Arabidopsis thaliana: one gene and its partner. The protein of the gene in region 2 interacts with the protein of the main gene of each other region in a pairwise test. Each region holds a gene or a part of one and is shown on either strand. Other genes may lie near its edges.

Region 1 (3,776 bases), on a different chromosome or scaffold from region 2:
ACCAATCTGTGCGCCGCAGAGAACGCTTAATTCTGCCGCTTTTTTGAAAAGCCCGGATCGTCGTTTGGAAAACGTCACTTGCCTTCGGGTCTCCAGCATGATCTCCTTGATCTCTATCTTCTGTCGACCTTTGGTGGTTTTAGGTTTTTTTTGTTTAGTCTCTTTTTTTGGTTTGGCCAGCAAGTTAGGGTTTTGTAGGGGTTTTGGTTCCGTGGTTGGTAAGAAAGTGATTGTTGAAGCTTCCCCATCCTCCATATTGAAGACAAGAAGAACAAGAGATTTTTGTGAGAGATTACAAGGGTTCTTTGGGAGAAATATTCCGAATTATATTTATATTCATAGTTTTGAACCATATAAGGAATTATTGTCTCATCATAATATATGCTAATTGTGGTATTAAATGCGCGTCTCAATAAGTTAACATGATATTTGGAATGATTCCATAAACAATCAACATTAACTTTTTTTAATCTAAGTTTCGTGACATTATTTCAAAGATTTACGAGATATACTTACTCCTTTCTTTTCTTTTTGGACAAACAAGATGCTTACTCCTCTCTATTTTACATTTTTGTTATATATAAAATATAAAAAAAAACTAATGATGATGCTAATATATGTGGGTCTCATATACGAATAATATATGATCAAATCAAATATATATATATGCATATGAGCATATGGATGTTAATGTTATTGTCAAAGAAAACACTGGCCTTAGTATAGTTGAAATTACAAAGTATAGTTGCCACATGAAAGGTTCCTCGTGGCCATTGCGAATATTTAATTCCTTTAAAATTATTTTATTCTTTTCCATTTAATATATCAATTAGTCTTTAATTAATTAACCACTCCACAAAGGTTCAAAGTAAGGTTGATAGATTAGTTTAGATTTGAAAAATGGTTAGTGGAGAAAACCACGGGTTCATTAGTCAGTATTAGAGACTGCTTATGGTTTCAAATTAAAAGCTATACCCCTAAAGGTAGGATAACAACTACTATTACAAATTAATTAATTTTTGTTAAATCTATATATACATTTTTGCAGCCATTTTGTTAAATAAATCCTGTAGTTGAGATTTATTTACAATGGTTGTCACTGGATTTTAATGTTTGTTTTTGATAATTAAAAAGAAAATCTTCGAATTAAATATTTGACATTTAACAATCTTCCCAAAATCTCTCCACATTAACTACACGATTATTTACTAAAATAATACTTCTAAAATATTTAATATCATTTAATTACTACAAAATTATCATTTTTGATATTGCTTTTCTCCATGACTATAACAATTCGATTATAATCATCAAAGCGCAGAGATATAATCTGATAGCATTTAATTACTACAAAATTACAAAATATTTAGACAATGATTCATAAACATATCATAAATAAGATCAACATTAATAAAATAAATGGGTTTATTTTTACAGGACGGGTTTGGAAGGACGTTACTTAATAACATTTGTAAACTATAAAATAAAATTATTTTATAGATAAATACAATTTATAAACTTTTATATATACTAACTTTAAAAAATAAATTATTCCCGCGATATACCGCGGGTTAAAATCTAGTGTATATATCAAGTTGTAGCAAAACCAGCTGTTGGTATAGTTTTTTCATTAAAGTTGTTCCATAAAGGTTTTAACTAATCACCGTGACGACTAAACACATTGGTTAAAAGTTAAAACCCATGTCGATTTATTGACTCTTGAAAGGTGAATAAGCCAACCATTACTATAGGTATAGGTTTTTATTTTTATTTATCTTATGCCAAAAATCCAAAACGACTAGTATGACGCAGTAAACTGGGTAGATATAAGAATCATGGTCATTAAAACTCAAATATACGATTCACTTAATGTAAGATATGATTAAAGATAAGAATGGATTAACCCCCAAGTAAAGCGATAAGATCGAATATATTAAGTTCATAAACTCAGCTAAATGCAGATCATTACAGACAGTGGCGAAATCATTTAAAAAGGGATTAACCTATGATGAGGATAAAATGGTAAAATTAACAAAGCCCACTTGGCCCAATTGTCGTTCCGAAGAACACGCCTTGTCGCTCTGCGTATAAGAGTGTGCTCAGGCAAAAATGAAAGAACAAAAACACAGAGACACCTTTAAAATTGAGAAATTTTACTTTTTAGCCCAAAACTTTTAAAACTTATACTTTGAACCCTTTAGTTCTGAGAAAATGTGCGGAGGAGCTGTAATTTCCGATTACATAGCGCCGGAGAAGATTGCGAGATCATCTGGAAAGTCTTCCTGGAGAAGTAATGGCGTCTTTGACTGCTCAATCTACGATTTCGATGGAAATTTCGATGAATTAGAGTCCGATGAGCCATTTGTCTTCTCCTCTACTCACAAACATCATGCTTCAGGTGAGTTACGATTCTGTTTTCTGATGTTTTGTATGTTCATCGTTTGGTTCTATGTCTCAAAGCTTTGAACTTTATCCATGGCTAGGCTCAGCATCAGATGGGAAGAAGAAACAGAGCAGTCGGTACAAAGGAATCAGAAGAAGGCCTTGGGGAAGATGGGCGGCTGAGATACGTGATCCAATCAAAGGAGTTCGAGTTTGGCTCGGGACTTTCAACACAGCTGAAGAAGCTGCAAGAGCTTATGATCTTGAAGCTAAGAGAATCCGTGGAGCCAAAGCTAAGCTCAATTTCCCTAACGAATCCTCTGGAAAGAGGAAAGCCAAGGCTAAGACTGTGCAACAGGTAGAGGAGAATCATGAGGCTGATCTTGATGTGGCGGTGGTAAGCTCAGCGCCTAGTAGTAGCTGTCTTGATTTCTTGTGGGAGGAGAATAATCCGGACACGCTTCTGATTGATACACAATGGCTCGAAGATATCATCATGGGCGATGCGAATAAGAAACATGAACCTAATGATAGTGAAGAAGCCAACAACGTTGATGCTTCTCTGCTTTCTGAAGAGCTTCTTGCTTTTGAGAACCAGACCGAATATTTCTCGCAGATGCCTTTTACGGAGGGAAACTGTGATTCCTCAACGTCTCTGAGTAGTCTCTTTGATGGAGGCAATGACATGGGTCTATGGTCCTGAACGGTTCTATTGTACAAATGACATGAGTGTTTTAAATGAGTTCTTCTTCGACTTGTCTGTTTGCTATTTATTCTTCAAACCTTAGCCAGTGTCAAACAAAAACGGCCACTACGACTATTGTTTTGAAGATTGCGATATTTTAAGTTGTAAGAATGTAGAGAATAATGTTTGGGAAGAACAAAGCTCGATTCATATTTGTGATAAACGCAAAATATAGATTCGATTCAAACAAAAAGGTGCAAAACATCTAAGGGTCTTAAGAGAAACAAGTGAGAAGAAAAAACAGTTACGGTTCGATAACTCTTCAATCCCAAAAGTAACAAAAAAGCATGTCTATAACCATTAAACCATTGAGTAAAGGCTATCAACTTTACTCCCAACCAGCAGCTGGTGCCCCTGAGGGTGGCGCGGCAGCTTCCCATCCACCATCTGCCGGTGCAGCTAGAACAGCAAAATAAACATAACATTAGAATCAAGATCTGTTAGAATAGGGTTCAAATGGTTATCAAAAACTCACCAGCGGAATCACTCCAAGAAGCAGCAGCAGGTGCAGCAGAGATTGGTGCCTGACCTTCTCCTGGCCATGCAGCATCAGGGATCTGAGCGGTGGTCCATTGGTCTCCACCTACCATTCCATATTCTGGAGCAGGAAGTGCACCATATTCTGCCTGAGGGCCAGCTTCATCTTCAT
Region 2 (3,790 bases):
TTCTAAAATTAGCATTGGACCACAAACTCCCCAAAACAAATAAAACATTGATGCTTTGGCTAGAATTTTGTGATCTATCTTATAGACTTGTACGGTTATATATACCAATCATGTTTTAACGGAATTGCCAAGTGGTAATCAGCAGTGACAACTATTCGTTAATCTGTAACATTCATATATATGTTTTTAATACAAACTCAAATAAACATTCATACATAAAAGATCCTGAAATACTTCGTACGATTGCCAAACAAAATCAACAACGATAAATATTACAAACGGTGTAGCATGTCCCTTAGCGCAAAATAAGGCCCAAGTTTGCAAACACACACGGTCACACATAAAAGGCTACAAAGTTCAAATCAGAGTTTTATTCAAATTCTCTCCGATGAATAAAGCAAATAATTTTTGTGTTTAAATTATACTCCGAAAATAAATAAACAAAAATAATTGAATCCCGGTTTGTTTTTTTCTTTCTTCTTGTCATTTTTATATACAAAGAGGCGGATCGTCCCATTACTCTCCCTGCTCCAATGTAAACCGAACCGGTTAACCACAATGCGTCTCGATCCCGAGTGTAGTACGTTGAAAATTCTAAAAGTAAAACGCACGGATTGTTGGTTTAGTGTTGAAACCGTTTTACGGTTTGTCAGGAACTTTATAAACCGGTTGGTTAATCAAACGACGTAACTTTTGTCTAAGAGCATCGGCCCAAACCAAGCCCACGTCTCTTTGCTTGTTCTTCATCTCCACCATCACTAGTTCATTTGTTAGCCGGCGAACTTTAACGACGACATTAGCTACTCCATGTGGACCTTCAAGCTTTATCGCTCTCTCCTTCTTCTTCGCGATTCTCAAATTTAACTGCTTCGCAACTTCCTCGACCTTCCTCATAATAACGGCCGTACTCTCATCGGATACAAACTGGTCGCAATGATCCGGCGTCACGAAATTTCCAAACAAACCGGAGAGATTCGAGCTCGACGCCGAAGAAATCAAATCGAACGCGTTTAGAATTTTACCGTTTTCTTCCAGATCGTAATCATCGGCTTGGATTCCGATGATTTCGCTTGGATCTACTCCATGATTGAACCACGGATCCTTTAGAATCTCCTCCACGGTGATTCGCAGTTCCGGATTTGGCTCCAAGAGACGGCGGAGGAGTTTCCGCAGATCTGAAGATGTCCAATCCGGTAACTTGTATTGAGCCTTGTGGATTTTCCGGTAGAGTCCCATGATGTTTGGATCACGAAACGGCAAGTAGCCTGCGTTGAGAAGAAACAAAACGACGCCGCATGACCAAATATCAGCTTTAGAACCGTCGTAGCCTTTCTTCAAAAGAAGCTCCGGTGCTACGTAAGCCGGAGTTCCACAGAGCGTATGTAGCATTCCGTCGGGGTGGATCTGCTCCTTCATCGCACTGAGACCGAAGTCTGAAACCTTCAGATCTCGATTCTCGTCGAGGAGGAGATTCTCCGGCTTCAAATCACGGTGGAAAACTCCTCTTGCGTGGCAGTATCTCACGGCGGAGATCAATTGCCGGAAATATTTCCGGCTAAGACTCTCTGTGAAACGGTTGCTGGTGACTCTTGAGAAGAGCTCACCACCTTTGGCTAGCTCCATGACGAAGTAGATCTTCGTCTTTGTGGCGAGGACTTCGGAGAGGAGCACGATATGAGGATGACGGAGGCGGCGCATGACAGATATTTCTCTCTTAACGTGCGCCGTTAAACCGTCTTTCAAACGTTTTTTTTGTACGACTTTGATCGCAACGCTTTCGCCGCCGTTTTGAAGATCCTCCGCTTGGTAGACTTTGGCAAACGCGCCGCTACCGAGGAGCTTACCGAGATCGTACTTACCGAACAAAGCCGACTTATTATCATCTCCGGTGACGTTAACAATGATTGATTCGGAAGAATTAGAGTCTTCGGCCATTAACAAACAAACAAAAAAAACAGAGCAAAAAAACAGAGTAAAGAGAAACAGTCTAGGAATTGTAAAAGACATGCGCGCGGTGCCTCTTCTTATTGAAATTCCTCAACTTGCCACGTAAGTAAGCTATTATTTTAAACAAAGATTTTAAAATAGTTTGACTTTATTATAAAATGCATTAAACAAATAAATGAAAGAAACAATCTTCACAAAAGACAATTTCAAAATGCGATAACATTTTCGATTTTTACTAATTTGAATTAGTTGCGATATATCAACCAGGTTAGAGATAGAGTCATTTTCTCCTGAAATAATTTACGATTCAAGGAATTTTCATGATTCTTTCCCCAATGTGTGGTTCATGTTGTTGTTACCAAACATCTGCCTTGTCAGGTCAACCAAAACCTTCTAATTCCAGGTGGGATTTAAAGTCTTAATTTATTTGTTTTTGTAGGAGCTGGGAAAACTCGACATATTTTTTTTTTTTAAACGTTCATCGTTGACAAAAATAAAAACTTTATCAAAAATAAAAAGAACGTCTATATAAAAATATTTGAATAATGTGAAAGAAAAAAACAACGTGGATTGACGTTACTTTGTATAGAATGCTAAGCAGTATACATGACGATGTTTTAAGCTTCTTTACCGGTTAAGATGGTACTTTAGTTCTGAGGATATGATTTGGTTCTTAAAACATAAGAATATATATTCATCAGGTAGAAGTGTACAACCAAATCAAGACAAGTGAACCGGACCAAATTTTATGTGAACTATATCTCGCAACATTGCATGTGCATGTAAAGATGTTTAGACACGAATGTTATATCGTGGGTACAAATCAACCATCCTTAATTCTGATGAAATTGTTGGTCTTTAACCGCATCCAACCGTAGCAACCCAATCAAACCAAGAACATTATCCAGTCAATAAATAACCTTTAAATTTGAGTGACAAAATAATAACATTTAAATTTGAATGTTGTTTGAAATTCAATGCCACATATAATAATTACTTTTTAATAGCTGGAAATTTTGTTATCTAAGGATTAATGATGGGCAAATTAAGTTTTTCTTATAATTAATTTGAAGTTGGATTCGTGGATCCAAGTCATTCGTGTGTGGATTAAAATCATACTAGTACCCCTTTTGTTGTTGAAAAAGCCAAAAAATTAATCCTTACACGTGAACTTGTTCAAAACATTATCATAAACCTGTAAATTTTTGACCAAAAACAAGAAACCTCTAAAAAAAGAATTAGGAAATATGCAAAAGCAAAAACTCGACAAAGTAAAACGAATAAAGAAAACAACTCTTGCTCATTCATTCATGTGTTCCAATATGTAGGTGTTAGCTTTCGTAACGGTATTTACTATCTATTTGCCTTTTAGTTTATTGACTTTATCTGAATGAAAATTAACACCTAACAGTCGGCAGTAATACCCAACCAAACTTCAAAAGTTATCTCGATTTTATCGTACGGTCACACAGTCATTTAGACTATGACATCCGGGCGTCATTGTGGAGTCATACCCAACCGGAAAAACCAACCATCGAATCATCACATCGAATATAATGCCCAACCGCCAAGTCAACTTATTTATGTGCTATATCGATCCATTTAAAAACATCAATTCTTTTGAAAAACAAATACATCACCATTGCTTTATTATTGAATATTGATCTTCTCATTGTTATCGTCATCAAGAATAAAGACATCTACTTCAAAGAGACACCGTCTTTACCACCGTGATGGTGTACGTCAGCCATCGACATCGTCCGTACACCCACCCTCACTCTTAATTTAAGACGTTTCTTCTTTCTCACGCATCGTCATATATTGTGTGATTTCTTTAAAAATG

Evidence for each region.
Region 1: the proteins of CIPK22 (region 2) and ERF73 interact in a two-hybrid assay, tested with the Arabidopsis thaliana proteins (2 studies listed by BioGRID).

What each region holds. Positions count from the first base shown.
Region 1 is NC_003070.9:27,239,693-27,243,468, forward strand, and holds ERF73 (Integrase-type DNA-binding superfamily protein), read left to right. Parts: upstream 1-2,003; 5' UTR 2,004-2,211; coding exon 2,212-2,398; exon of another isoform or gene 2,399-2,449; coding exon of another isoform or gene 2,450-2,483; coding exon 2,484-3,085; 3' UTR 3,086-3,276; downstream 3,277-3,776. Other genes in the region: AT1G72350 (MADS-box transcription factor family protein), read right to left, coding at 1-255; P40 (40s ribosomal protein SA), read right to left, coding at 3,456-3,526, 3,603-3,776. UniProt on the Arabidopsis thaliana protein: Transcriptional activator involved in the hypoxic stress response. Acts as a transcriptional activator via the cis-acting element GCC box.
Region 2 is NC_003071.7:16,113,270-16,117,059, forward strand, and holds CIPK22 (CBL-interacting Serine/Threonine-kinase), read right to left. Parts: upstream 1,936-3,790; coding exon 640-1,935; downstream 1-639.